7 linked regions of the Coturnix japonica genome follow. The protein of the gene in region 1 purifies or fractionates together with the protein of each later gene. This does not show direct contact. Links are inferred from orthologs where the notes say so. Each region holds a gene or a part of one and is shown in the gene's direction. Other genes may lie near its edges.

Region 1 (4,776 bases):
CTATCTCTTCCAGCTCGAGTATATTGTGATTCTATGAACTGCTTGAGATACTGCATTGGTAAAGTAATGATGAAGTGTTTGGGGGATGTAACACTTGGTTGCTGTTACACCTATCTGCCTGTCTTTGGCTATTTATTGCCACTGTCTTTGCTGCAAGAAAAAAGTTAAGGTGGGAATAAAAGCTAAAGGAACAGGTATCAGGAACGTGTCCTCATTTCCTCAAGGAGGCTGCCTGGGAGCTAAAAAGCACCATCGCAGGTTAGGACTAAAAAGTAAGATAAAGGCCATCCTCTACTTCCTGATCTTTGCGAGCATTCCAGAAACTAACGAAAAACCAACAAACCAAACTCCAGTGCACTCCAGCTCATAGGGAAGCAGCAATCCCTCAGGAACCTCCCTTCACAGAGCTCACCACAGCACCAGCTTCTCGATGCCTTATAAATGAGCGGAACGGGTCATTCTTAAAGCGGGAAGGAGCTCTGCCCGCCCGAGCCCCCATACACCCGCCGGGGGGCGACACAACCCGCGCCCCCTCCGCGCTGCCGGCGCCCCCTGCAGGCCGGGGAGGCGACACCGTCGTGGCGGGCAGCGTCCCCGCCTCTCCCTCCCTCCCTTCCTCACGCCCCGGAGCCCGGCGAGCCGAGTCCATCCCAGCCGGCAGCGTCGCGGCCCGCACGGCTACAGCGTCACAGCGTCACCGAGGGGAGGCGGGGAAGCAGCGGTTGCCGGGCTACGGCAGCCCGGCCCTTTACCCGTCGCTCTCTCCCTCCCTCCCCACGTCAGCGCCGTCTCCCTCCCGCTCGCCCGGGCGGGGTGGGGCAGCAGGGCGCCCTGACGGACAGTTGCCACAGCGACGAGCTCGCCCCGCCGCCATTTTGTCGGTTCGCCTTTTTTTTTTAACCTACCCCTTCCACCCACCCCCCCAAAAAAAAACCAAAAACCCCCAAACAAAAAAACCCAAACCCTTTCCCGCCCGAACCGTGGTGGCGGTTTTCTTTTAATTTATTCGCTTATTTTCCCCTTCCCCGCTTCCACTCCGAAAGACAAGAAAACAGAAGAACACCTTCAATTTTATATATGTATATATATATGTATATATCCAAAAAGGGCAATAATTCGTCCCCGAGGGTCTGCCGGAAATCCACCCCGCGCTGCGGAGCGCTGTGAGGGAGCGGTGCCGGCGCAGAGCCGCTCCGGGAGGGAGGAGGAGGAGCGGGTGGGGTGGGAGGAGGTAGAGGCTGGCAGGCGGGGGAGGGAGGGAGGAGGGAGCGAGGAGTTCCCGGGGGCTCGGTACAGCGCTGCGCTTTCCCCCCACCCCCTCCTTCTCCACCACCTCCTCCTCTTCCCCCTCCCCCCGCCCGCTCTCGCCGCCCGCCCGCCGCTGTCCCCGCGCTGCCAGGCCGGGGCTCAGGCCGCCGTCGACCGCCGCACCTCACCGAGCCGAGGCGAGGCCGGGCCCCGCCGTTGCCGCCGCCGGGCGCTGCGCAGGTTTGGAACGCGCGCCATTTTGTGAGCGATAGAAAATCCAGCCCGGCCAGGAAGCGCCGCGGATCCGCCCGCCGGGCCGGGCCGGGCCCCCCCCACCTCTCCCCGCCGCCCGGAGAAGAAGGCGCGCAGCGGGCAGACCCTGCCATCGGCACCGGCACCGCCGCCGGCCGAGCGGGCCCGAGCGCGGCGGGGCGGCCGGCCGGACTGCGGAGCGCGCAAGAGGGAGGCGCCGCCGCGCCGGGGCCCCGGGCCGAGGCCGGGGGAAGAAGAAGAAGAAGCGCTCGCTCCTCGCTCTGCCCGCCGCACCAGCAGGAGAGGAAAGGAAAGGAGAGGAAAGGAGGAGAGGAGAGGCCGCTGCCGGGAGGAGCCGGGCCGGAGCGCGGGGCTCGTACGGTGAGTGAGCCGGCGGCGGGGCGCTGCGCAGCGGGACCGGCGGGTGCCACCTCCCGGCCCGGCGCGGTCGAAGGGGGCGCAGCGCAGGGGGCAGCGGCGCTGCCATCTTAGAGAGAGGCGGCGGGGAGAGCGCGGGGCCCGGCGGGCCGCTGCCCGGCGCTGGCGGGGCGCGGAGCCGCTGCGGGCTTCGGGGCTGCCCTTCCCCGCCCTCTCGTCCGCCGCCCCCTAATGGGACAGGCCGGGGCAGCGACTGCGGCCTCTGCGGCCCTTTTCTCGTCGGTGTCCGGGAGAGGCTACCGGGATGCGAGCGAGCCGGGCCCCGGGAGCGGGGATGAAGGAAGGGAGTTCGCCCGGTTCTTCTCGCTCTGATGCGCAACGCCCTGCGGTGGGCGGGAGCGGGGTCTCGGCCCGGCCTGGGAGCGGGGAGACGAGGGTGGCAGGAGCGGGGCCGTCAGCGCGGCGGGCACCTGTTGTGGTGGCTCTGCCCGCACCTTCTGCGGGGGTCGGGGGGAGTTGGGGCCGGGGCAGGAGTACCTGAAGGAGGCTGCTGTCATCGGGCTGCGCTGGGGAGAGCGGGGAGCGGCGGCCGAGCAGCGCACCGGGACCTGCGGGGTGTCAGTAGCTGGCTGCAGCCCGCTAGGAATGGAGCTTTGTGCTGCTGGAGGTGCCAGAGACCTCCTGTGATGTGTGGGGTTCTTTTTTCCTCCGTTGTGGTGTTCCCTCCCGTTGCCACAAAATCGGAAAACACAATTAGAACTGCTGTAATTTGGAATTTCGAAATTGGTGCATTTTTGAGTTTCGATCAGCTTTGAAGTTTAGAGTTTAGTCTGCCCAAAGGCCATGTAGGGGTCCTTTGATCATGTGTCTAGATTGCTGCTGTTACTTAGTTCTCCTGTTACTCCACAGCCATCGGTGGAAATAAACATTCATTGTTCTTTAAAATTAAAATTAACAAAGGCAGAATATCTGGCTATGAAATAAATCGACAGGAATGTCTTGGACAACCTACTGTTGTAGTCCCAATGGGAGCGTGCAGGTAACTTTTGCCAGTAGGTGCACACAGTGGCTTTTACGTGGCTTTCAGCGTCGTAGGGGATCTGGATAAGTGAACAGCTCGTTTTCTTATTATATTGGTAGAGCTGAAGAATTTATCAGTAATGTTTGAGGATGAATAAAGTGATGTTTTGTTTGTAGCGGTACTTTATTATCTGTGAGTAACTGAGTAGAGTGTAACTTACCACACTGGAATAACGTAGCCTGAAGAAGTTTTGGTAGAACTTGTTTCTCCTTATCTGTACTCCCCCCAGCATCTGTAGGTTGGGTATTTTTGGAAAATTAATTATACTTTATAGAATTAGAATGCTAACGCTGAAGATAACTGTGAACACGAGCTAGTATTTCTATTATCTACTTGTATCTTGTGAACTCTGTGTGTGTGTATGTGTAGGCTACTTTTGTAGGCTGTGCTTAATGTTTTTCGCTTATACAAAATATTTAGAATCAAAGCCTTTTCATTCATGGTCAGTAGTAGAGTTCGTATGTTGGATTTACATTTGTTCTACGAATTAAAAATTGAATAAAAGTTTATGAAGCTTATGGAGTTTCAATCGTATTTCCTAAACGTTTTTGACTGAGCTGTCCAATAGCACAGTCTTCTTAAATCACAAAAGGATGCAGCCCATTCTCTTAAGTTGTTGTGTATGCACACATTGGGTTCTTTAATATTGTTTACAGGCCAGTAGGTGAGAAAGTTTGTTGCCATATTCCAGTTCCTGTATCAATACTCAGGTGTATTTGGAGTTTGCCATTGGAATCCCTTCCCCCACTGTTGGACAGTTACGGAGAAGCAGCGAGAAGGATAATTTTACCTAATAGCAGCCAAGTGGTCTCTATTTCAGTGTCAGTTTATGGATAGTGTGATCTTCCTTGTGTCAAATAAGGATGTAGTAATCAGGAATTTATCAATTTTTAAAGCACGTGGGCTGTGAACGGACTAGGAGTGAGCATATGATGGTCGTAAATAACTTCCTACACACTGGTAGATGGTTTATGCAATGGAGAAAAACATGACTGGCATCAAGTAAAAACTTAGGTTTTAACATTGTGTTTAAATAGGACGTAGCTGCTAGCATGTATGTCACAGCTTGATTCCAGCAGGGCCTTGGAAAGAAATGGGTCTGGGTTAACTATATCGTTAGGCTTTGCCTTAATGAATTTACTGGGAGTTTTTGTTAGTTCAAGTAAGTTAGCCAGTGCTTTACCAAGTGTGAAAGTCCTGAATAGGTTATGCTAATGTGTATGAAACACCTGCTTGTGTGGTTGTGTGCAAGAAGACCAGTTAATAAAACTCACCAAGAACTATTCCTTGTTTGCTGTGATGGCGTTTTATAGTTTTATCTGAACTGAAATGGGTGGTGACTCTCAGCAAAGAAGCAAGTTCTGTTGCTATAATTAGATTCTCTATTCAGTGTTCCTCTTGAAGTGGCTTTATTTCAGGTGCTTTCCAACCTGCAGTCCCGTAGTTGGGGTTAAAGTTGTTCCAGCTGATGTTCTTGGTTAGTCTACCTGCAGTCATTTTTATTGCCATTTGGCCAACTGTTTTCTAAAGTGAAGTCAAAAGTTTTCTTGATACCTTTGTTTTATGGAAGCATGGAAACCTTGTATCACTACTGAAATCCTTTTGTAAATAGATCTCGTTGTAGAATAGGATTATTTACAGAGATTTACTGCTTTTGTCTTTATAACTGAGTACAGTAGATTATTTGTTAACTTGCTTTACGATTTCATTTCTTTTCCTTTTCTAGCAAGAGTTTAGGAAACTTTTTTCCCCTCCCAATATGTAGTAACAGTTCCACTAATTAGACTTGACTGATTAGTGGGACTTCTTTTTTGATC
Region 2 (3,981 bases), on another chromosome or scaffold:
CTGGGAAATCCCCTAATGAAGCAAATTTAATTGATTTCACTAATGAGGCTTTGGAACAAGTAGAGGAGGAATCTGGTGAAGCCCAGCTCTCATTTCTCACTGATAGTCTTATAACCACAATTGACAGTCTGGAGAAAGAAACAGAGAGATTCAGAGAGTTGCTGCTTTATGGACGCAAGAAGGTGAGTGTTGATGCTGTAGTTCCAAATACCGTGTGAATGTTTTGTTTTTCAAGAAATCTGAAAGCTCTGAGCATCAGTGAAAACTCTTTTTGCTGCTTGCAGTGCATATAATAATTCATGATGCTGCAGTATATTGATGGAGAAATTGTGTTCTGTAGTTTATAAAATGAAGTTGTATTCTTAAGTTAGCATGTAATCTAATGAAACATTTCTTGGGTTGAAATACTACTGTGAAGTGATCACTGATTATGTGAGTTAAATATTAAGCTATCCCCAGGAAACTAATTTCTGTATTAACTTAGGATGCTCTGGAATCAGCCATGAAGCATGGCTTATGGGGTCATGCTCTGCTACTTGCCAGCAAGATGGACAATAGAACGCATGCAAGAGTTATGACCAGGTACATCTTTGTTTGTTGTTTGTTAGTATGGCATGGTTACCTGTTCTGACTACAAGAGATCTGGTGCTCCAGAAATCTTGATGTTAAAATCACAAGTTATCCATATCACCTTATGCAAGGTTGATGCTTTAGTTTTATCTGGGTATTCAGCTGAAGCCTGTAGTCTGCTGCATTCTCTTGTCTGAGGTCTTGAGGTAGTAAAATTAAATTGGAGAAGTTAATTCAAGGGATATTTGATCCCTGTCATCCATGGGCGTGGGATTGATGTATGTCACATTAGCAGATCCAAGTAATTAATGATGGTTTTCTCTTGGTTGTTATCCTCTGTGCAATAGCTTATTTAGTGTATTTTTGAACTGCACTTAGTTTTCTTAAACTAAGCAAGATTACCAGTGACTGAATGTTCAGTGTACTTTAATTCCTTACCCAACGTTTATTTCTTGTTTTTCTGTATCATGTCTCTCTAGATTCGCCAACAGTCTCCCAATTAATGACCCTCTGCAGACTGTTTATCAGCTCATGTCTGGAAGGATGCCAGCTGCGTCCACGGTAAGGTTCCAGTGTGAGCTGCAATTGAGTCTTAAAGAGATACTGCAATGAGCAGTATAGTTAATAACAGTAAACCTTCCATGTGCTTTCTTTAGGTCAGATACATTTTTAGTCCTTTCTAGGTTTTAACACTTAAATGTGCAGAGCTCCTGCCGCTGATTTCTCTAATTAATTCTTCTAATTTTAGTGCTGTGGAGATGAGAAATGGGGAGACTGGAGGCCACATCTAGCAATGGTGTTATCCAACTTGACTAATAATGTGGACTTGGAATCCAGGACCATTGCTACCATGGGAGACACTCTTGGTAAGTCTTTAGGAATTAAATGAGGATGACTGAAGGAAAAGTCTCTTGAAACAATTTGATTACTCAGCTTTTAAAAAATCTTTTAACAAACAATTGCTTTGTAAAATGTAAAGTGTGACAGTTCTGTATGGGCTTGTCTGTATTGTGAAGCTATTTGAATGCAAGGCTAAGCAATACGTGCCATCAAGACAGAATATTCTGAGTTCTATTGCTTATTTTTCTGCAGCTTCTAAAGGCCTGCTGGATGCTGCTCACTTTTGTTACCTTATGGCCCAAGTTGGTTTTGGAGTTTACACAAGGAAGACGACAAAGCTTGTCCTAATTGGATCAAATCACAGGTTTGGATTTCCCTTCTTAAAACATCACTTCTTTGATGCAAAACAGAAAGGTTAATAGATAAGAGAGAGTTGCATTGCGCCCCTCATCATCACTAGCAACAGCTGGCTTTGAGAACTGTCTGATGCCCTGTTGTAGTTGTTTGAGGACCTGAAGTTGCTTGTACTGTCTAATAGAACAATATTTCTGGCTTTATCTATAGTAGACAGATCTGAATCTATTGATAATGCTTATATTCCTAAAGCTGGGTAATATTTTTCTTCTCCCATTCCTCAATAGCTTGCCATTTTTGAAGTTTGCCACCAATGAAGCTATTCAAAGAACGGAAGCCTATGAATATGCACAGTCACTAGGAACTCAGCCTGGCTGCTTGCCTAATTTCCAGGTGAAGACCTGTTCATTCTGTCTTCTCAGATTTTTGTGATACGTTAATCTCTCATATGTGCTTCAACGTACAAAATATTTTCTATCTCTTGCAACATGAAATATTCATGAACAAGAGTGCAGGGCAGCTTTTTCCCCGTTTCATCAATCAGTATTCATTTTTCCATCTGATGCTTCCAGGAATGTTCTGACCACTTGGTTTATTTTGCCTGTGTTCTGTAGGTTTTCAAGTTCATCTATGCTTGCCGACTGGCTGAAATGGGACTTGCTGCTCAGGCTTTCCATTACTGTGAAGTGATTTCCAGGACTGTACTTAAAGATCCACAGTACTATTCACCTGTACTTATTGGCCAGCTGATCCAGGTAACATAGGGAAGAACTATTAGAATTAGTAGCTTTATATTGTATATTAGTAGCTTTATATTGTGAATTAGTAGCTTTATATTGTAGGGGGTAAGCTGTGGGTAAGGTTACCTTGTTTGGCTGGTTAACTTTATAGTGCTTCCTTTCTCTAGATGTCATCGCAGCTGCGCCTGTTTGATCCCCAGATAAAAGAGAAACCAGACCAGGAAACCTTTGTTGAACCTTCATGGTTAGTGAGGCTTCGACATGTGGATGGACAGATTAAGGTACAAAATGTACTTTCTAACATGAAATTTTCCCTTCTAAGGATTAAAGAAAACCAATTTTAAGTTATTTTGCTCATATTGATAAATACAAAAACTTCATGCTTGTGTGTGATGACATCGTGAAATATTATATTGTGAAATACAAGTATTATAACTTAAACCAAGAGGATTTAATATAGTTCAGTGCCTTAAGATTTAGTACCTTAAAAGGTAATTACATTACATAAAATAGACTTTTTTAGTGCTGTAATGTAAGGAAAATTGCAAAGTTTGTTAGATTGCAGTAACTCCTTCTGTTTGTTGGTTAGAAAAACAATGAAACAAACATAATTGCACAAAGAATTTTATTGTGGATTAGTATAGCTAAATTTAACATTTATTTATGTAGAGAGTTCCACCAGCAGTATGAGAATTGAGCTCATTAACTATGCTTCTTAAAAACAAAGACCTAAGTGTTTTGATTGAATTTGATTTACAAGTGGATGACAGCTGTTTTTTTGACTCAACAGTTAAGAGTGTAAACAGTATAGCTGTTGCTTTTAGGATTTCTTCTTCTATATGTTCCCCTTGGTTATGAACTCAACATCAGGTAGAACTAATAAGATCTTATTTTTCTGTGTGTCTGCAGGAGGGTGCAATAGCTTATAGCACAGACAGATCCACGCCACAACAGTACCCATGCAGCACACCAAGCTCTGAATTAGACCATACCAGTCAATATGATGGAGCAGGAGTTGGCCATGATGTGGGTCCAGGCCCTGAAAATGCATTGTTAGCATCCTTATTGCCCAATATGGCTCAACAGATGCAAAGCGTGCAGCTGATGCCTTCAGGTCAGTTCTTATGGCAAAGAATGAAATAGATATTTTGTGTTTCTAATATGAGGAGCTCCTTAAAAGCACTGTAGAAACAGTGAGACTTCACTTCTGCATTGTATGATGTTATTCACGCATTGAAAGGCTCTGTTTAGTTGTAATTCTTAACCTTTTTGTACCCCAGCTCCTCAAGCTATACTTGATGGGTCAGCTGCTGGGATTCCACCTAGTGACCAGGAAGCTGTCCAAAGTGTCCCTTTCTACCCTGTGGCTTCCCAGCCTATTGGTCCAGGACCTGGCTTTGCACCTCCAGGATTTTCAAGTCAGTATGGAGCTGAGCCATCACCATTGTATTTAGGGTCAATGCTACCACCAGGAGGG
Region 3 (2,884 bases), on another chromosome or scaffold:
TTCCAGAAGACCATCATGTGCTCAGCTTAACAAATATCTGTCTTGTCTCTAGACCTCTTGTCTTCATACAGTTAACACCAGAAATTATGTAAATAGAAGTTGTGTTCACCGTGCAGCTGGAAGGAACAGAATAATCGCTATGCTGCTGAGGTCCACTTTGACCATTTTCTTGTACCTTTCACAGTAAAATCGGATATGTGACATTTGAGCTGATTTGTGTCTCGTAAAGGAAGCGCTGATGGTTCAAAACCTCTAACGATTAGCCTCTGTATTTGAGTCACGCTTATACAAATGTTTATGTGGTTACCATTTGCAGATTCTTAAAGAAAGCCTTATATGTTTCAGCGAATCTAGATTGTAATGCCTGAAGCTTTGGTTGGTTTTCCAATGGTGCTGAAAAGGCACATTTGAACAGCAGCAGAATAAACAAAGGTATCAGAGTTAAAAAGAATAAGGTACCCCAAACTGGTGGAAACACTTGAAAGTAGGAGCCATCATTTCACTGATTCTGCTTGTAAGTTGGTGAATTCTCCTTAAGCTTGCCTTTTTGTTTTTTTATTTTTATTTTATTTTTTTTTTTTTTTAATTGTAAGCCCAAACATAGAACAGGAGCCACTTGTGTTGGCTCTTTGAGAAAGTAGAATCCTCTGCAGAAGGGTCAATTTCTGTGAGTAACCATTTTTGTACCTACTTTATTTTCTTAATGCATTCAGTGTTGACGTTGTCAAGATGAAGGAAAAGGTGGTTCGCCACTTTCTGCTTAAGGCGAACCCTGTCGTAGTCTTAACTTTTCAAACTTCTGTTCTTGTGACTTCACCAGAGTTGAGTCTTATCTCTCAGAGATTTGGCAGGAAGTGCAGAAATCTGCCTGCTGTGAAGTCTGTCCTGTGTTCTGGATGTGTGTGTCTTTAGTTCCAAGTGTGCCTAGTAATGATCTGCAAAACACAAAAGTGTCTGCAGTCATAAAGAATAGCTGGGTTGTATAGTTAGCGATGATGAGAGGGTGGAGTTGTGGAGGTTTAATTTTGGATATTAAGAGAACTAAACTGTAAAGCAAATGAGGTGGGACATTGTAATGACTACATACCAGTACCTGTATTAAAAATGTGCTTTGTTTCTTTGCAAATTCTGAGCTAATAGTGAAACTAATGCGGTCAGCATTCCTGCCAAAAATTGTTTTAAAGTAAGATAGATGCTGTATGCACAGGTTTTCAGTAACTGCTTGTACAGTGAGAAGGCATTATCATTACCACTTGTAACTCTCCTCATGTGTAATGCATATTACTGTGTTAATTTATATTTTTTGAAATACATAATTAAGAGCCAATTTGATTCCAGGATCACTTTGTGCCAGTTGCGGTGTTCTGGATAAAAATATCCTCCTGTTACGTGTCGTTATGTGATTACTGCTGCACTGAAGCTTTTATTCGGAAGAAATGTGCTATGCAAGGGTGTTCGAAATTGCCTGTGATAAAGGAATCGTTGTGGTAGAAGCAAACCAGCATAGCGGCTGAACTGTGAAAAAGGCATCTTGTTTGGAAATCAAACTTAATAAAAAAAAAACAACACTCTCAATCTCTAGTAATATAACTGCTTTAAATTTTCAGACAGTGGGAGTAGCTCACCGTTGCCCAAGTATGCCTCATCTCCCAAACCAAACAACAGCTACATGTTCAAACGGGAACCCCCAGAGGGATGTGAGAAAGTGAAAGTCTTTGAGGAAAGCTTGTAAGTAATGCCTTTTATATCAGCTGGTATCTGCAAAGCAGTAAACCTGTTTACTGAGCCCATTCAACTGCAGATGAATAAACTATTCCAGCTGATGAGTTTTTCAGGAGCAAACTATCCTTAGTTTGTACAGAAGAGAAGTTGAAGTGTTCATGTTGGTTTGAAGAGGAAATGGAGTCTTTTATGCTTGAACTCTTTTTGTGTATTTATAAAAAGGCAAGAAAAATCCAAGCGGAAAAGATAAGGTACATTTAATTTCCTAAGCGTTTATAAACCTCACTTTCATATGCTTGTATTAACTTTTGTAAATGTTCCTTGTTTGACACAAAAACTCTCCTTGCCAGAATTTTTATCAGTTTTGAGCATAGGTTGCATTCATATACCCTATGGTTACAATTGTGTTTAAAACACATAAAATGACTTGAAATCTATATATTATAAAGAGTTTTTAGATGGTTGTATACTTAATGACATAGACTTCGCTCAATAGTTTTGCTGTTGAGCAGGAAATCAGAAATTAAACTCTTAGACATGGTGTCCTTTTCCATAGACTCAGCAGTATTAGAACATATGCTGTCAAAGTTGCATGCTTAGCTCCTGTGGAAGAAAAGAATGAAGGAGGGGGATGGTTCTTGCTCTAACGGCATTCATTGCCCAATGGATGGTGAAGGAGCAATGCTGGGTTGTGGAGGAAGCCTCTGAGCAGATTACAGAATATGGGAAAGGAGAGGTCAATTTCACGGAGTTCCTTAAAGATTTGATGTGACTACACGTGTTGTTTCTGCAGTGCTATTGTTAAAGAAGACTTTGTGTCGTTCTAAATTACCATGGCATTTTTTCATGTGCATATGTATTGCAGATTTTTCTCTCTGGAAAGGTGCATGTTTATCCAGTAACGATGTCATTTTTGTGATGGCACTGTTTTTAATGCTGTGGATCAGTTAGCTGACTACCAATATGGAAGATGTTTGCCCCTCTGTCCAGTTAATCCCATTCCTTGTCATTCACATTTTAGCAACCTGTAGAACCACAAAGTTCACAACATACAAACATCTCAGTCGGACGAGTATATAATCTTTTTTCTTGTTGTAGGTCTCGTCAGCCTGTCTCAACCCCTCTCTTTTCATGTCCTGACAAAAACAAGGTTAATTTCATC
Region 4 (4,702 bases), on another chromosome or scaffold:
TCACTGTGCTCACTAAACCATGTCCCTTGGTGCCACATCTTTAACACCTGCAGGAAGGCTGATGTCACCACCAGCCCATTCCAGTCCCTCACTGCTCTCTGAGAAGAATGATCCTAATATCCAACCTGTCCCATTTTGGGGCAGTCACCCCCACTGAGCGCTGACACACATGGGGTTGTGGCACTGTCCCCATTTGCCCCCTTGCTGTTCCCCTGCAGGTTGGCAGCACAGGACTTCATCGTCGGCGCCTTCCGCAAGTTTGCCACCGACAACACGTGCCACATCACGCTGGTCATCCACCCGCGCAAGGAGGACGACGAGAAGGAGCTGCAGACCGCCTCCATCTTCGGCTCTGCCAAGGTGGCTCCTCCTGGGCCTCAGGCGGGGACAGGGTGGGGACATTGGCACGTCGCCGTGACCCAAACTGTGCTGCAGTGGGGCTGGGTGTCCCCTGCCATCTGGTGGCACGCGGCTGATTGATGCTCATCAGCTGTGGGTGGGATGTGGCATGAGTTGCTCCGTGGGGTAGCAGGGAGGACGCTGGGTGTGGGGGTGCCCCGTGCCCTGCAGCACCCCCTGGAGATGTTCTCCTCCCCCAGGCCAGCCAGGAGGCCGACAACGTCCTCATCCTGCAGGACCGCAAGCTCACGACGGGTCCCGGGAAGCGCTACCTGCAGGTGTCCAAGAACCGCTTTGATGGCGATGTAGGCGTCTTCCCGCTGGAATTCAACAAGGCCTCGCTCACCTTCTCCTCCTACGGCAAAAGCAAGGCCAAGCTGAAGAAGGTGAAGGAGGAGAAGGCGCCTTCACCCAAGAAGGGTCCCAATGGAGGAGGTGTGGGTGGCTCTGGCAAGCCCTGAGTGTGGCAGGGACAACCTTGGTACTCGGGCACACCAGGTGCCGTGCGGCTGCGCTCCTCCTGAGCAGAGCACGATGCTGGGAGATGGGAGAGGAGTGGATGTGCAGGCTTTGGGGTCTCTGTACCCTGAGCAGGTCAATATAGGGTTGCTAAGTGGAGGCTGATGGCCCAGGTTTACCTCCCGCACGGTGTGGTGCTAGTGCAGCTCTGCCGGCTCTGAGCCCGGCCCCTCTGGCCACATGTACCACCAGCAGCAGTAGCAGCAATGCCTCAGGGACACAGCCCTGGGCGCCTCGGAGCCTCTCATGGCAAAACACTGTGTCTGAGCCAGTCCTCCCCAGCACAGGGGAGCCCGCCGTGGGCTTTTGGCCCATCCCTCTGTTTTCTTTACACTTTTATTAAAGCAGAGCTGTTCAAGCTGTTTGTCCTTCGCTGCATGAGCGTCCCCGTGCTCCCATCCCCCATCCCTCCAACTTTGGGTCCCATTCAGCCCCGTGTCCATGCTGTGCGTGGGGCAGGACGGCACAGCGGGGCCCCATGGCCCCACGCACACACACACCTCCCGCCCCAGCGCTGACCCAGCACCGGGCACCTCCCCGCCACCGCGCCCCACGGCTCCCACGCGTGGGGCCGGGAGGAGGCATTGGCCGCCGCGCCGGGAGCCGGGCCCATGGCGGAGGACGGGGATGTGGAGGTGAGCGGGACGCAGCCCCCCCCGTGCTGCCTGCGGGGCCGTGGTGCGGGCTGAGGCCCTGCCGCCCCCTGAGGGCCCTTCGCTGCCGTCGCTGCCCCGCGGCCCGGCCGTAGGGCAACCCCCTGCCGCCTCCCATCCGCCGCGGGGCCGGGGGCCGGGGGCGGCGGGGCGGGCGGGGCCTGGCGCGGGCCGGGCCGGCGGAGAGCGGCGGTGCGGAGCGGAGCGTGAGCGAGGGCGGCCGGGCCTGGGCCGGAACGGGCCGGTGGGACCCGCGGGGACACAGTGGGGCGCTACGGAGAGGAGGGACGGGGGGGGGCGGCCCTGACCCCGCTCTCTCTTCCTTTTCCCGGCTCAGGGGGCGGCGGAGTCGGGCCGGGACCCGCCGGACGGATGGGCCGCGGCCGGCCAGGTGAGAAGCGGGGCGACCCGCAACGGGAGAGGGGGCCCGGCGTCACCCCGGGGTGATGCTGGGGGCGGTGGAAGCGGGGGGCGGCCCCGGGGCGGTGCCAGCGCGGCGGGCGGAGCGCGGCGGCCCGAGCGCATCATGGGGCGGCCCGGCCCGGGTGGGTCCGGCTCGGCCCGGGGGGACGCGTCGGTGTGGAGCTCCAGGGCGGGGGGAGGGGGCGGAGTGGGGACCGTGAGCTGTGGGAGAGAGGGGTGTAGGGACGGGATTGGGGAGCGGGGTGATGTTGGTGCCGGGGTTGGGGGGGTTGGGGAGGAGGATGCTTCAGGATGAGGTGTTTGGGGCGTCTCTCTGAGGCTGGAGCTGAGGTATGGCAGTGTAGGCAGCGCTGTGGGGCAGAGCAGGGGTGCAGGACCGGGAGCAGTGGGGCAGAGAAGGCACCGTGACTGCTACGCAGTGGGGACCCTGCTGAGTGCATGGGGCTGCCCCTGTGGGGCTCTTCCTTTGGGCCCTGCACGGGAGCACTGGTGCTGCGTGAGCCCCCTGCATGCCCCGTGCCTCCCCCTGCTCCGGCTAATCCCAGCTTTATGCTGTTCTGCTCGACGCCTGCTCATGCCCGGCATATCTCTTGCAGCCATCCCACATCTGCCTGCGCCATTATGGGGGTCCTATATTCATTGGTGTCCTATGGGATGAGTGAGTGAGTTTATTGCTTAAGGCCTCACGTTGCCTTTCTTTTACAGGCTGCCTGCGCCCCCCTGCCCGCTGGGGGCCCCCCTGCCATGGCCATTGTGCAGACACTGCCAGTTTCCATCGAGGCCACGCCTGAGGCTGCTGCCCAGCTCCGCACTGCCACCCGCTCCCCCCTGCCCACCCACGGCACCATGGGCAGTGTGGGCAGCCTGATTGCCAGCCGACCATGCCACGATCGCTCCTGCCAGCCTGCTGGTGCTGGTGGTTCCTTCCGTGTGCAGGATACGCTGCTGCGAGCCAGCCCCCCGGATCCCCTGCTCCACACTTTGCCCCCCAAGAAGCCGTGCTCAGCCACTGCCCATGCCTACACCAATGAAGTTTTTCATGGGGAGTGGCTGGAGGCAGCCTCTCCCGTCAGCCCCTGCAGCGACTCAGACGAGGCACGGGATGAACAAGCCCCAAGTGGTGGCATCCGGGGGCCGCCCCCCAAGCTTGTCCCTGTCTCTGGCAAGCTAGAAGAGGTAAGGTGGAAGCAGTGCTGGGGGATCTGCTCAGCCCTGTGCTGCACTGGGGCTGCTGGGCTTGGGGAGACGTGCTGGTGCATGCATAGAGAGAGCACATGGTCCATGTCGCTGGGGGTGGTGGTGATCTCTGTGCTCCTGCTGCCCTCTTCCTCATGTCAGGAGTGGCCATGTGTGTGTGGGAGCCTGTCTGAAACTGCTGCATGGAGCAGAGGGCACCTAGTGGTCATCTTCTATAGAGCTGTGACACTCTGAGGTGTTGGGTGGGAGCAGAATTGGTGGGGTTACCAAGTCCTCCCTGGTGCTCTGGCAGCATCCCCAGCATCTGCCAGGCCACCTCTGGAGTGTACCTGGTCCCCAGATCCCACTCTCTCCTCTTTTGCCTTGCAGAATGTGGAGAAGACCCTGATCCGCCCTATGGCATTCAAACCGGTGGTACCCAAAGTCAGGGCTGCTCCGGGCCCGGCCAGCCAAGGGGTACGTCCAGGGGCTGCAGCATTATCAGAGAGCCAGGTGAGCCTCACCCACCTGCTGGGGACCACCGGGGCCGACAAGCCTGGCTCACTGAGCTGCCGCACCAGCAGCCACTCAGGCACGCTCTCAGACTCGGGACGCAACTCTCTGTCCAGCCTGCCCACCTACAGCACAGGCTGCAGCCAACATACTGAGCCTGGCAACCTCACAGCCACCCCTCACAGCCACCCTGAGCCCCCAGGTGGCTACCGCCCACCAGCCGGCCCCTCCAACTCGGACAGTGGGCGCTCATCCTCCAGCAAAAGCACGGGCTCGCTGAGTGGCCGGGGCCGGCCCTCCTCCGAGAGTGGCTCCTGCGGGCGCTCGCCGCTGCCTGGTGAGGAGGTTCTGCTGGTGCGTGAACTGGAGGACAAGCTGCGGGAGAGGGAGGCCGAGCTGCAGCAGCTGCGGGACAGCCTGGATGAGAATGAGGTGGCCATCTGCCAGGTAAGAACCATATAAGGGTAAGGAGAACCAGGGGAGCTCTCAGGGCTGGGGGTGCCCATATAGTCCTATTGTGTAGATTTGGGTTATGCATGCAGTGATGTGTCTGGGGAACCCCATGGAGATTGTAGATGCTGACTTGGGGAGACATGGAGGTGGTGTGGGATGTGGGATGTCCCATCTCAGCGTGTGCCTGTGCCCAGGTGTATGAAGAGAAGCAGCGTCGCTGTGAGCAGGAGCTGGAGGGTTTGCGGCAGCGCTGTGCGGCCCAGGTGCGACAGGCGGCCCAGCAGGCGCAGCGTGGGCAGCAGGTCCTGCAGCTCCAGGTGCTGCAGCTGCAGCAGGAGAAGAAGCAACTGCAGGAGGACTTTGCTCAGCTGCTGCAGGAGCGGGAGCTGCTGGAGCGTCGCTGCGCATCCTTCCAGCGGGAGCACACTGAGCTGGGGCCACGGCTGGAGGAGACCAAGTGGGAGGTGAGCTATGCTGGGAACAACCGTGGTGTCCCTGTCACTCGGGGGCCAGGGTGGGGCCGTGGCCGGTGCCTGAGCATCTGCTGTCCACAGGTGTGCCAGAAG
Region 5 (3,334 bases), on another chromosome or scaffold:
GCATCTCTTCTTCTTTTCTGAGCCCTGTTTCTTGGTGTGGAGCTCAGTGCTCTGGGTGTCTCAGCAATAGAACGGGGTGTTAAAGGAGCTGCTGTTTGAGAGTCTTCATGAACCTGAAGCTTTTCTCACATCCTGGCCTCATCCAGCAGCTGAAGCTGAGCTTCTCAGCTTTGCCTACAGCAGTAACATGAGATGGAGCTGAGTGTTGCCTCTTAGACTTCTAGCTTTTCCCCCTTACGTACGTGATCTGCTGGGCTGTGAAGTGACACAATGTTCTGGCATAAACACCAAATGCCGTCTGAGTTGTTTAGGAGAGACTATTTGAGGTAGGAAATGAGATCAGATGTGCTGCGTGCTCAGAGTGTGGGGTTGGCCTGAGCTGCAGGGCTTCCTATGGGAGCAGCCTGCTCCTCCACGGGGCGGCTGAGGCTGCTCTGAGCTCAGCAGGACCTCACAGTAATGAGCAGATTGCTTCTGTCAGAGCAAACTGAGCGCTGGGCTCCAATGGAACAGCTGCTGTGCTGCCAGTTCTGCTGGTCCTGTGCATGGAGACCCAGGCAGCACACAGTGTGTTGGGAGCGCTGTGCCCTGCATGGGGGGCTGCAAGGAGGGGCTTCATTAGAGCCCGTGCTTTGGGGCAGGGTTGGATTTCTGTCTGGAGGTCACCTGCATTCAGTTAGCACAGGAAAGCCTGCTACCTCTCCAGGTAACTCGCCTTGTTCCTTTGGTTTAAATCCATTTTGAGGCAAGAGGCTTCTGTCATCCTGCTTTCTGGATGGGGTTGTTGCCAACAGCTGCTGTCCTCGCAGTGGCCTCAGGGGAGATGAGGAGGAGCTGTTCTCAGGCCCTTGCACCTCCAGGCAGCCAGTCCCTGAGGATGGAGGAGGGGAGAGTTCTCCGGAGCCTCCCACAGCACAGCAGGGACACGGGGTGGGTGTTTTGTGAGGGCCTGACATGTGATGTTGGGAAAAAGCAGCCCTGCAGCTGACGTGCCTTGGGAGCGTTGTGATGCTGCAGGGCTGCGATGGGGAGGATTGAGTTGAGTGGAAGGAAGTTCACACCCATCACTGATCAGATCAACCCCTTCTGACTGCCATTGATACTCGTGATGGAGCTGCTGCTTGGAAAACAGCTGTGCAATGCGCTGGGGTTGTTTATTGTGCACCAAGAGCCAGCTGAGAGCTGCCAGCCCTTCAGCCAGGCATGAGCAATGGAAGCAGCTGGGCTCTTCCAGCATTGAGTCTGCTGGCCAAACCCTGCTTTTTGGTTACGCCTTTGAACTGCGATAATGGGAGCCTGAGGTCTCAGCAGCAAACTGTGTGTTCTCACAGCTGGGTGAGGCTTTTCCTCTCTGTAACGTTGCTTTGTACAATGAGTGCCTGAGTCCCTACGTCAGCCTGCTTTGGGCTGCAGGCAGCATTGGGGCGTGAGGAACGATGGCTGTGCTTCACATTGCCAGGTGCCCATGGGGATTGAGGAGCTGCCTCCTGAGCAGCTCTGTTGCCATGCAGGTCCCTGAGGTCCTTTAAGATGCTGTGACAACGTTGGGGTTTGGGGCAGTGCAGGAAGGATGCGACCTCAGTGCATTACTGAGTGATAAGGGGGAAGGCTGGGACAGGGCTGTGAAGGGGCAGCAGTTGGTTGATTTGATTCTTTGGGACTCACCCAGCAGCTTCAGGGCAGTGAATGTTGTGATTGTTCTCAGCAATGTTTCTCCTCGCTTCAGACCCCGGTGTCCTGGCATGACGTGGAAGTGGGGAAAGGCAGCTCCAGTGCTCACAAACGTTCTGCTTCTTGGGGTAGCACAGATCACCGCAGAGAGGTAAAATAGATCACACCCAGCTCCTGAGCAAGGGCTGTGTTAGCTGCTGGTGGGAGTGCTTGTAGGTGGCACAGTGTGCGTGGGCTCCAGCAGGGCCTGGCCCTGATGCTGCAGGTGGAAGATAACCCAGATCCCACCGCAGAATGGGAGCCCTTCCAAGGGGAGGTTTGTGGTGAGGCCTCGTGGGCAGCCCTGGCCCATCCTTGGAGAGGCAGCCGGAGCTGCTTGTTGTACAATTAGAACTGTCTCTATTTTGGCACTTCCTCATGGGTTCAGACAGAGGGGGGGGAGGAGAGAGATGAGACGTGATTATTTGGTTTTGGTGGAGGTGTGTTGGGTTGCTTCATTCTGACGCTGAAACTTTCTTTGCTAGATTGCCAAACTGAAGCAGCAGCTCCAACGAACGAAGCTGAATGGCAGAAGTGGCAAAGAAAAGGAGAAGAGCTCCCCGCTGCAGGGGGACCACGCTGTTCTCACATCGCTCCGGGTAGGTTCACATCTCCCTCTGCTGTTGTCCCTGCTCCTCCCAGTGAGGAGGAGTGTAAACTTGGGCCTGCTGACATCCCAGCCGCTCTCAGACATCTGCTCAGTGTCTGAGGAAGGGGAGTGGTTTTTTCTTCCCCCCCTTTTGCTGCTTCAGCAGATCCCCATGCTCCAGACGGGTGGGTTTATGTGGCTCTTGTGCCAGTCTTTGCCAGTCAACCTCCCAGCAGGCTCTGGCTGAGCACTGTGGCATCAGAATGGGATGAGAAATGGCTGAGTCTGTGCTGTCATAACTAACATCTTCGTCTCTGGGTTGTTGCAGGACTCTCCTTCAGGCTTCCTTTCTTCGTCTCCTGTTTTGAGGCTCAGTCCTTGCTTGCACAGGAGTCTGGAAGGGCTGAACCAGGAACTGGAGGAAGTGTTTGTGAAGGAACAGGGAGATGAGGAGCTTTTGAGGGTGAGTGAAGGTTGTAGGATCACCCTGAATCTCCTGTGTGGTCTCAGAAATGCTTTCCTCTCATGACGTTCACTGCCCATATCTGCTTCTTGGCCATGAGAGTGGTCTCTGTGTCCAGTTTTGTTCTAGGCATGTAGCTGCCTGAAGCTTCTTACAGGGGATGCAGAAGGGTCTGTGTCCTTCTGCTCTGGTTGTGGCTGAGCCTCTGCTGGGAGCCAGTAGAACGCTGTAGGAGTGGCTGTTTCTTCACCTTTTCTCCAGTAAAAGAGGTGAGTTTCTCCTTGTTCTCCTGAAACTTTGCTTCTTTCTTTCCTAGATCTTGGATGTCCCAGACGGCCACAGAGCACCAGCACCTGCACAGAGAGGCTCTGGAGATGCCTCCCTGATCCTGGAGCCCAGCAGTGGCAGCTGCAGCAGCCTCTCGCTTTCTCCTTCCCCTTCTGTGCCTCTCCACCTTTCTCCACACACCCCAGTGAGACTGGTGGCAGAAGAGCTCTCCTCTGCTGTAGATGAGGTGCAGCTGGATTCAAAAGAGAAAGGCAAGTGCTGAGCCCAGGGGCTGGGGATTCTGG
Region 6 (3,745 bases), on another chromosome or scaffold:
TTGGTTTTGAGTCTGTGTCAGCAGTCGTTGTTTCCTGAAGTTGAGTTGTGCTTCAGATTTCTTTTAATGCTGAAGTTACTTCCTCTTGCATCCAGTCCTGGGAGTCTCCCTTTGCCTTTCTCCATCTTCACCCTCACTTGGGCTGATGCAGCTGTTTGTACTGCAGTGCTGTAAATAATCACTGAAACAATTCAGGTTCCAAAACCAGGTGTTCTTCTCCCCCCCCTTATTTAGTTAATGGAGATCCATTGATGACCTGGTTCCCTTTGCAGCTGAGGTGATAGCAAACTGCTTCACAACAGAAAAAAGCAGCTAAGATGAATCCAGCCGTTCAGCTCTTATTCTCTCTGTTGCCCTGACAGTTGTTGTGCTTGTTTCCTGCAGGAGTCACAAGCAGGGAGGGCAGCTGGAATTCTGCTTGGTCTAACTGTATTGGAGTGCAGTCATTTCCTTTGGTGGGGAAGATAAAAATACAACAGGACTTGTAGCTCTGCCTCATGTTTGCATAGCAAAGAATTCTCATTCTGGACATATGAGGCTTCTAACTTTGATCTGTGTGCTCTGTTTGAGTGGGTGGAATTGCTGTTGTTTGATTTCTCATTTCCTTTCTTAGGCTGAAAGGATATTTTCAGAAGTGAGGAGGATTGAAAACTACAGAGTAGAAGGCATGGAGATCTATTCAACTACGCTGTGGCATCTGCAGAAAGATGTTGCTCTGTCAGTTCTTTCAAAGGATTTAACAGACATGGATAAAAACTCACCAGAGGTACAAAATGCTGTGGTGCTCAGTGAGATGAGTAACTGTGTGCGGCACAGACAGTGACAGGGAACAGAACTTGGACTGGAGCTGGATTAGGATTTCATTCTCACTTGAGAAATATGAGGTGAAACTGGAGAGGGAGGTGGCAGGATTTGCCTGTTGAGCTGATGATGCCTGAAATGGCTGCTTGGCGTTAGAATATCAGCTTATATGGGACACGTTGTGAACCTTTAATCTATTAATGGTGATTTGAATCTGTATTGACATTGTTAATCCAGGAAGATCATGGGTTGATCAATTGTCCCTGCTGATGCCCACATGTAAAGATAAGGGATGTTTTTTCTCATATTATCTTCTAACTGCTGTAATTCACTGGCACTCATATTTCCTGCACAACTTGTACAACGCTGCTTGAAAATATTTTTATGCTGAAGTCCGTTGAGCTGGTATTATAACATGCACATGACATGCAAGCAAGCTGACATGTGCCCCAATAATAAGTATGTATGTGTGTGGAGGGGATATAAATCTGCTCTTGACAGAGTGGGGGAAGCTGTGGAGTCTGTTGGGATTTTCTGCTGGAGATGAACCTATTCAGGTCATTCTATTTTGTACTAGAGGAAGGAGGACTTAGTGAAGCAACTGGTCAGTACTGTTAAAACTGTTGTTTATAATCTAGTAGCAAGTGACATAATTGCATAGATCAGTGACAGAAGATCTGTTTAGCTCAGACTTGGTCATTCTGCAGGTTGTGAAATGACACTTCTAACTTAGAATGCTGTTTTTTATTAGGCATGGTGTGCTGCAGGGAACTGCTTCAGCTTGCAACGAGAGCATGACATTGCAATCAAGTTCTTCCAGAGAGCCATTCAAGTTGATCCAAACTATGCTTACGCCTACACCCTTTTGGGGCATGAATTTGTGTTAACAGAAGAGCTAGACAAGGCATTAGCTTGTTTTAGGAATGCAATCAGAGTCAACTCCAGGCACTACAATGCATGGTAAGTCTTGCTTCATCCCCCTTCTGCTGTATGTGATATGGAGCACCTTTGGGAGGAATAAGCTGCAAACGCTGCTGTGAATTTTGTGAGACTTTTCTGTCATTGAGTCATTTCTAAATATGTGCCACTTCTACCAGTCCATATTTGCTGATGACAATTAGTTTATTTAAGATGCACTCTTATTAATGGAACTGTTTTTCCTTTTTGCAGGTATGGGTTGGGAATGATTTATTACAAACAGGAGAAATTCAGTTTAGCAGAAATGCATTTCCAGAAAGCACTTGATATCAATCCTCAGAGCTCAGTCTTACTGTGTCACATTGGAGTAGTAAGTAGATTGCGCTCAGCTCTCTCCTTGTTATGTTCTGATTTGCCTCTGCCCTTTACCTGCAACCTTCCTGAACTTGAAGTGCAAAAACAAACAAAACAAAGTTCAGAGGATCTATTAGAGGATCTTATTGCATGAATGAATAACCGTGGGATTGTGTCAGAAAATAAATCCTCTTTTCTCCCTCCCCCCAGTTGCTTTTAGCCAGTGTTGAAATGGCTTACTGACTCAACCTGATAGCATAGGCTTACCTGTGAGAAAGCTTGGTTTCTTTAAGACTCAGTAGGAACAGGTTGTAAGTAAACGTAGCAGCACCAGTCAAATTTACTTTATTCTTTTCCCCTTTTGAGATTTTATTCCTGTTCTGTTACAGGTCCAACACGCACTGAAAAAATCTGAAAAGGCTTTGGATACTCTAAACAAAGCAATTAACATCGACCCCAAGAACCCACTATGCAAATTCCATAGAGCTTCTGTACTGTTTGCAAATGAGAAATACAAGGTAAGATTTGATGCACGTAGACAACCTTAGATTATCTGTTACTTGCTACAGCAGCGGATGGGGATGCAGTGATAAGCATTAAGGCTTGAAGCATGAGTAGGAAGAGCCTGAGGCAGAGCAGCTAATAAAGCATTTGTTTCAAGAAGTGCCACCTTCACTGAGCAGGAGATTAAAAGTCAAAAGCAGAGGATACCTGTGAGCAGGAGAAAAAAAATTAGATGTTATTATAGGAGACCAAAGCCCAGCGTATTTATTCTGTGCTTGTAATAATTGGGCCATAACATTCTATAGCCATTAAAGGAGAAACTAATGTAAAAGAAACTTGAGGTGCTTCTGATGAGGCCGTACTGTTGTTTGTGGTGGAGTGTGCTGTATGTCAGTTGCGAGGTTTGCATCAGCTCTGAGTTGCAGTTCAGCAATGCAATAACTGGCTGCTGGTTGCCAGCTTGTGCTTATTTTTTTTCTTCCTTTTCAGTCTGCTTTGCAAGAACTTGAAGAACTGAAGCAGATTGTTCCCAAAGAGTCTCTTGTTTACTTCTTAATAGGAAAGGTAGGTGAAATTTCACTGTGTTTGTAAGCACTTTGTTTTCCTTCATTGCAGAAACGTCTGCTTAATGAGGAAACTTGAAGCCTGTTGCCAAGCTGTTTACATTTGGGGCAGCATTGTAAAATTCACAGAGCCTTCAATAAGACTTGCTGCATATAATCTCACAGCTCTCCAACGTAACAGCTTTCAGCCTTAAAAGACTGGAGCAACCTCAAGCTATTTTTATAACCACCCAAGAAAAGATAACCCAAGCTCCTGTTGTCTTCTTTTACATCTGTTGTCTCAGAGGAATTCATTTTAGAAAGCAAGAAATGGATCTTTATTGAGATCTTTAACTGCAAAGAGGTTGCAGTAGTTAGAACAGCTTTCAGGGCTAGGCTGACTATCAGTCATCTGTGTTGGTTATTTGGGCCTGGAGATGTGAAAGTGTTGAACCATGCTCAAATGTATAAATGTATTAATATTGCATCAGAAGTGCTGAGTAAGTGTCTGTGGGGTGCTTTTACTCCTCCGTGTCTGTTTCAGCTGATGGCCTTTGCAAGTGGGTTACAGAAGGCGATATCCTTCTGTATCAGTTTGGGAAGTGGGAAATCTTAATGAGGCTGTA
Region 7 (4,535 bases), on another chromosome or scaffold:
CTTATCTTCTCTTCCTCAGCCTCACTGCCCCACTGTCAGACCGACAAATTTATTGGTCTTTTATGAGACCAAGAATATGTATCCTAATTAATGCAGAATGGAGGTAAACAACATGGTTAGGAATGATGATGTGCCGCTCTCACTCCGTCAGTGAAGGAACTGCAGTGACCTTGCAGAAGGCTGCTGGTTTTAATCATGATAATTGTGCAGCTGACACCCTTGTTATGAAGACGAAGCAGAAGTGGGTGACTGCATGAACCAAAGAGCAAAGGAGCGGTCACACAGCTCCAGGTTCTCCAAGGTACTGGGTAACCAGCTCCTCTAAATTCACAAGGCCTTCAATATCTTTGTATGTTTCAGGCCATGGATTCCCTCACATCCACAATGTCTGTCCTCCAACTCTTGCCTTAAGAGAGCATGGAAAGTGATAGTAACTACTGTTTGAAGCCACATGTAGGTTTGACATAACTACTGACTCCTGTGAATGCCAACCAAGGATGAATGTAGCCTAAGTTTCCCCCATGGTTTGCTGGCTCCATCACTCCCTTAGCAGTCTGGGCAGCTCTTCTCTGCTCTTCAGCAGCCACAGCCTCACACAATTGTCTCATGAGAAACTCTTAATGCATGAAAGTGTGAACTGAAAGCTGTGGGAACAAGCGCTGATGGTAATGCAAGTTATTTACTCCAGAATACTCATTATTTAATTAGACACTTAACACCAGGGTTTCACTGCAATCCAGACCAGACTCAACGGCAAAGCCTTTTGTTTGTCATTCCTTTCTTTTTAACACATGAATACATACAAATCTATGCTTATGAGGAGCATGATTTCACTTTGCAGGGTAGTTCTATGCTCTCACAGCGAAGGATTTACACAAAATTAATGAGAGAAACCTCATGTTAGCACTACAAGGCTCCTTTTAAAGCCTGTTTTGCTCCCTTTATTACACCGCTGCATTGCCATATGAACTCCTGCTCAGCAGAGGGTTGCATCAAGATGAAGCCATACAACAAACTTGTTTTCCTGATGCTGTAGAACAGGTTTTACATACACACACACACACAGAGCTTTGTTCCAGCTGGGACAAGGCACCAAGGCTTGTCCCAACAGCGCTCCATAAGCATTATCGGGCCCTCACCATTCACATTGGGATACATTCAGTGTTTAACAGCTTGCATGGGGTACCCAAACCCAACCCCAGGCCGCCCCATAGTGACACAGACCTCCCCCCCATTAGCAGCGCGTCTTAAAGGCGCAGCATCACTCAACCAACACCGCATCACCGAGCTTACTAAAGAGCGCTGCGGTCCCTTTAAGGTTACCTCGACGACGGCTCCGGGTGAGAGCGAGGCTCATTGACGTCACGCCGCTCTCTGATTGGTCCAACCCGTCCATTTCCGGTGGGAGCCGCCGCCGTTGCTGTCGCTGAGGCCGAGGCGGGGCAGTGGGCGCTGAGGGCCCGAGGAAGGCGGCCGCTCCAGGTGAGCGCTGGGTGCGGCCTGTGAGGAACAACAACCGGGAATGGCCGCTGTGTGGTGGGGCTGAACGGGAAGCTCGAGGCCTTTAGGGTGGGCCTGGCTGCGGGGGAGCAGCGCCGGGGCCGGTACCGGAGCCTGACTGGGCCCCAAGGCTTGTAGGCCCTAAGGTTGTAGGCCTTAAGGCTGTAGGCCCCAGGGCTGTAGGCCTTAATGCTGTAGGCCTTAAGGTTGTAGGCCTCGAGTTGAGAGGCTGCGTTGTGGCCTTGCGGGTTCAGGCAATAGAAACGAAAGCTGCGGGGTGGGGCCTGGGGATGGGGTGGCTATCGGGCTCTATGAGCACCTAAAGGCCGTCCCCTCCCCACTCCCATTGCGGTCCCTGTTTCCCTGGGGTTCATTATTAGCGCTGACCTTCACCACGCTGTTATCAAAGCAAAAGGAGCATTAGGAGAAGGGAAATGCTCCTTTAGTCGTTTCGAGTCTGTACTTAATGTCTATGCGGTGTGTAATGTGTCTGCCCGGGGTTGGCTGTAACATTTGCAGCTCTGTGTTAGCTCTGTGCCTCCTGTAATGCCTGGCAGGACGATTCCATTGGGTACAGTGTTATATCACCTGTTATCTGCTGCCTGTAAAGCACGATGTGGCAGCTCAGTGACATGACATTTCAATATTGCTTCATCTGAATCCTTTTCTTTCTCTCTTCTCTTTCTAAAGCTGATCCTGAGATCAACACTTCTCACTGAACAGTCCTAAGCTGTTGCCGCTGTCTCTGTGCCAGGTAACTTTCTTTATATGTCATCAAAAATACCTTGAGAAATCATTTCCTCTTTCTTTAACTGTCTTATGGGGAAAAAAAACCAAACAACTCAACATTGATTTTATAAACATATACATAAATGAATAAATAAATTAGCATAATTTTATAACGTGAAGTATAAAAAAGAATAGACTTAATGGTATTTTTTTCAAAGTCTTGTGGCTTGCTCTGTGATTTCAAAATCTCTTTAAAGCCTGACAGTGTGATGGGTCTGTTTAAGGGTCCCCTCCTGATAATCCACAGCTGAAGAAATATTTTTGGGGATGGAGGTGTATTCACGGAGGTAGTTATGAAGTGTGGAATGATTTAAACTAAGGAGCTTCTATAAGAGGAATGCTTCTAATTCCCCAGTTGTCATTGATGGGCATTTGTTGAGCTGGCTTTGATTTGACCTTAGCACATCTCACTTCTGGATACCTGTAGTGTTTGTGTCTCAGATTCCTGGTTTCCACCCACCAGTCTCCTGTTCATCACCACCTGACCCCTGGTTTTAACTGGGGTAATGTTAATCTTCACAGTAGCTGATAAGGTGCAATGTTTTGGGTCTGGGAGGAGAGCAGTACTGATAGCACACCAGTGTTACAGCCATTACTGAGCAGTGCTTACACTAAGCAAAGGCTGTTTCAGCTTCTTGCACTGCCAAGCCACTAAGGGGCTGGGATGGGACAGAACCAGAACAGCTGCCCCACCTGGTTGAAATGGTTCTGTACCATGTGTTGTCGTACTCAGCAATAAAACTGGGGGACTCGGCTGGGGGGGGACAGCTGCTGCTTGGGGACAGACTGGGCATCGTACAGCAGGCTGTGAGCAATTGCAGTGTGCATCATTTGTTTTATTTTTTCTTTTTTTTTTGTTTGCTCTGTTCCTCCCCTCCTCATAGTTTCTTCTTTCACACTTTAGCTTTGTTACTGATCTTAGATATGAAGATGACTTTATCCAGTGATGTCAGTCAGATGATAATGCAGCATGATTTTCCTTTAGGCGATATAACGTGTCTGACTATATTGGGCTGCACCATCTTTTCTGCTAGTTCTTTAACTTTCTCTTTCTCATTTTCAGCAATGGCAACTTCCAGCAGCAGCAGCAGTGAGGAGGAACGTAGTCTTCGGGAATGTGAACTTTATGTCCAAAAACACAACATCCAACAGCTTCTGAAGGATTGCATTGTGCAGCTGTGCACCGTGAGACCTGAGCGACCCATGGGATTCCTCAGAGAATACTTTGAAAGATTGGAGAAGGTAAAAATTCCTTTCTGGGAGAGAAGGAGAGTGGAACAGCCAAAATTTGCACTGTTTAACTTGATTTAATGGCTGAGCTTCCAGTTTGGCCCATGTTTGTATTGGCTGTTTGGAACTGGGCCTGATGCTTTTGGAGGATGAATGGTATTTTCTGTAGTTTTTGCTAGTGGCTTGTGGTATGAAAGCACCTCTTGCTTTGTTGTGACAGAAGTAAACTGACAAGGACACTTACCCACCTGGGATTCACGTGTGATCCTAGTCTAGTGTTTGCTCATAGAAACTGATAGATAGGACACGTGATCCTGTCTGTGGTCAGTTGGTAAATGTGCTGTGTGACCCTGGTAGCTGCTGGTGATACACATTTGGTTTCTTCTGTTGAGGCAAATTGATTGCAAAGATTCAGGTATAGAACAGCAGCAGGCCAGTGTGGTAGTTAGCCCGGCCTAGCTGAAATCAAATGAAAGCACTTATTTTCCTGATTTCTAAGAGAACAAGCCTGTTTCTTCATTCTGTTGGGAACTGAGTGTTACTGTTTTGCTTTTTGTTCCTCTCATTTGTCCTGAAGGTCTCTTCAGTGTTCTTGTTGAAAACCTTGTGATCTTTGGAATGAAAAGCGTTTTCATTTCAGTGCTCATATTTGAATCAATTTAACGCTGATTTGAACAGTTAATTGAATATAACTATAGCTTAAGCTGATAGAGAATAATCTGCTATGAAAACATGAGTTTTTAAGGGTGAATGCAGAAGAAAGATTAGCTGTAACCACTGCACTCAGCACAGGTCGTTAGTAATTACTGTAGCTGTGACCTTGTACAGCAGTCATTTGCAGGTGCTGCTTTAGCTTCCCATCTTACGTGGAAACTATATCTTTGTCTTTTTTCAGGCTCCTAATAATCCTTCATCCCCACCTTTTACTGTATCAGCTTTCCCACCTTGTATTCTTGGGTTTCTAGTAGTGATACATTGTAAGGTTTGGTGTATCAATGCTTGTGCTAATGTTGCTT

Evidence for each region.
Region 2: the proteins of DYRK1A (region 1) and SEC16A purify together in Homo sapiens (affinity purification with mass spectrometry, with the first as the bait; 3 studies listed by BioGRID). This does not show direct contact. The link is inferred for Coturnix japonica from reciprocal best matches to the Homo sapiens genes DYRK1A and SEC16A.
Region 3: the proteins of DYRK1A (region 1) and GLCCI1 purify together in Homo sapiens (affinity purification with mass spectrometry; 8 studies listed by BioGRID and IntAct, with this or other methods). This does not show direct contact. The link is inferred for Coturnix japonica from reciprocal best matches to the Homo sapiens genes DYRK1A and GLCCI1.
Region 4: the proteins of DYRK1A (region 1) and LZTS2 purify together in Homo sapiens (affinity purification with mass spectrometry; 8 studies listed by BioGRID and IntAct, counting the BioPlex papers as one, with this or other methods). This does not show direct contact. The link is inferred for Coturnix japonica from reciprocal best matches to the Homo sapiens genes DYRK1A and LZTS2.
Region 5: the proteins of DYRK1A (region 1) and FAM117A purify together in Homo sapiens (affinity purification with mass spectrometry; 4 studies listed by BioGRID and IntAct, with this or other methods). This does not show direct contact. The link is inferred for Coturnix japonica from reciprocal best matches to the Homo sapiens genes DYRK1A and FAM117A.
Region 6: the proteins of DYRK1A (region 1) and CDC27 purify together in Homo sapiens (affinity purification with mass spectrometry; 3 studies listed by BioGRID and IntAct, with this or other methods). This does not show direct contact. The link is inferred for Coturnix japonica from reciprocal best matches to the Homo sapiens genes DYRK1A and CDC27.
Region 7: the proteins of DYRK1A (region 1) and PRKAR1A purify together in Homo sapiens (affinity purification with mass spectrometry; 6 studies listed by BioGRID and IntAct, with this or other methods). This does not show direct contact. The link is inferred for Coturnix japonica from reciprocal best matches to the Homo sapiens genes DYRK1A and PRKAR1A.

The regions. Positions count from the first base shown.
Region 1 is NC_029516.1:96,407,208-96,411,983, forward strand, and holds the start of DYRK1A (dual specificity tyrosine-phosphorylation-regulated kinase 1A), read left to right. Parts: upstream 1-1,774; 5' UTR 1,775-1,881; intron 1,882-4,776. UniProt on the Homo sapiens protein: Dual-specificity kinase which possesses both serine/threonine and tyrosine kinase activities. Exhibits a substrate preference for proline at position P+1 and arginine at position P-3.
Region 2 is NC_029532.1:6,356,413-6,360,393, forward strand, and holds part of SEC16A (protein transport protein Sec16A), read left to right. Parts: coding exon 1-182; intron 183-484; coding exon 485-582; intron 583-1,049; coding exon 1,050-1,131; intron 1,132-1,318; coding exon 1,319-1,436; intron 1,437-1,662; coding exon 1,663-1,774; intron 1,775-2,051; coding exon 2,052-2,157; intron 2,158-2,378; coding exon 2,379-2,519; intron 2,520-2,671; coding exon 2,672-2,785; intron 2,786-3,413; coding exon 3,414-3,618; intron 3,619-3,784; coding exon 3,785-3,981. UniProt on the Homo sapiens protein: Acts as a molecular scaffold that plays a key role in the organization of the endoplasmic reticulum exit sites (ERES), also known as transitional endoplasmic reticulum (tER).
Region 3 is NC_029517.1:22,767,275-22,770,158, forward strand, and holds part of GLCCI1 (glucocorticoid-induced transcript 1 protein), read left to right. Parts: intron 1-1,607; coding exon 1,608-1,728; coding exon of another isoform or gene 1,729-1,732; exon of another isoform or gene 1,733-2,820; coding exon 2,821-2,884.
Region 4 is NC_029521.1:20,199,582-20,204,283, reverse strand, and holds the start of LZTS2 (leucine zipper putative tumor suppressor 2), read left to right. Parts: upstream 1-1,742; 5' UTR 1,743-1,962; intron 1,963-2,051; exon of another isoform or gene 2,052-2,144; intron 2,145-2,699; 5' UTR 2,700-2,738; coding exon 2,739-3,170; intron 3,171-3,560; coding exon 3,561-4,130; intron 4,131-4,330; coding exon 4,331-4,600; intron 4,601-4,690; coding exon 4,691-4,702. Other genes in the region: TWNK (twinkle protein, mitochondrial), read left to right, coding at 219-360, 600-860. UniProt on the Homo sapiens protein: Negative regulator of katanin-mediated microtubule severing and release from the centrosome. Required for central spindle formation and the completion of cytokinesis.
Region 5 is NC_029542.1:2,730,528-2,733,861, forward strand, and holds part of FAM117A (protein FAM117A), read left to right. Parts: intron 1-1,726; coding exon 1,727-1,822; intron 1,823-2,195; coding exon 2,196-2,309; intron 2,310-2,627; coding exon 2,628-2,762; intron 2,763-3,078; coding exon 3,079-3,301; intron 3,302-3,334.
Region 6 is NC_029542.1:2,302,602-2,306,346, forward strand, and holds part of CDC27 (cell division cycle protein 27 homolog), read left to right. Parts: intron 1-613; coding exon 614-766; intron 767-1,552; coding exon 1,553-1,761; intron 1,762-1,971; coding exon 1,972-2,089; intron 2,090-2,462; coding exon 2,463-2,591; intron 2,592-3,066; coding exon 3,067-3,141; intron 3,142-3,745. UniProt on the Homo sapiens protein: Component of the anaphase promoting complex/cyclosome (APC/C), a cell cycle-regulated E3 ubiquitin ligase that controls progression through mitosis and the G1 phase of the cell cycle.
Region 7 is NC_029533.1:6,401,916-6,406,450, reverse strand, and holds the start of PRKAR1A (cAMP-dependent protein kinase type I-alpha regulatory subunit), read left to right. Parts: upstream 1-1,361; 5' UTR 1,362-1,482; intron 1,483-2,190; 5' UTR 2,191-2,254; intron 2,255-3,352; 5' UTR 3,353-3,354; coding exon 3,355-3,531; intron 3,532-4,535. UniProt on the Homo sapiens protein: Regulatory subunit of the cAMP-dependent protein kinases involved in cAMP signaling in cells.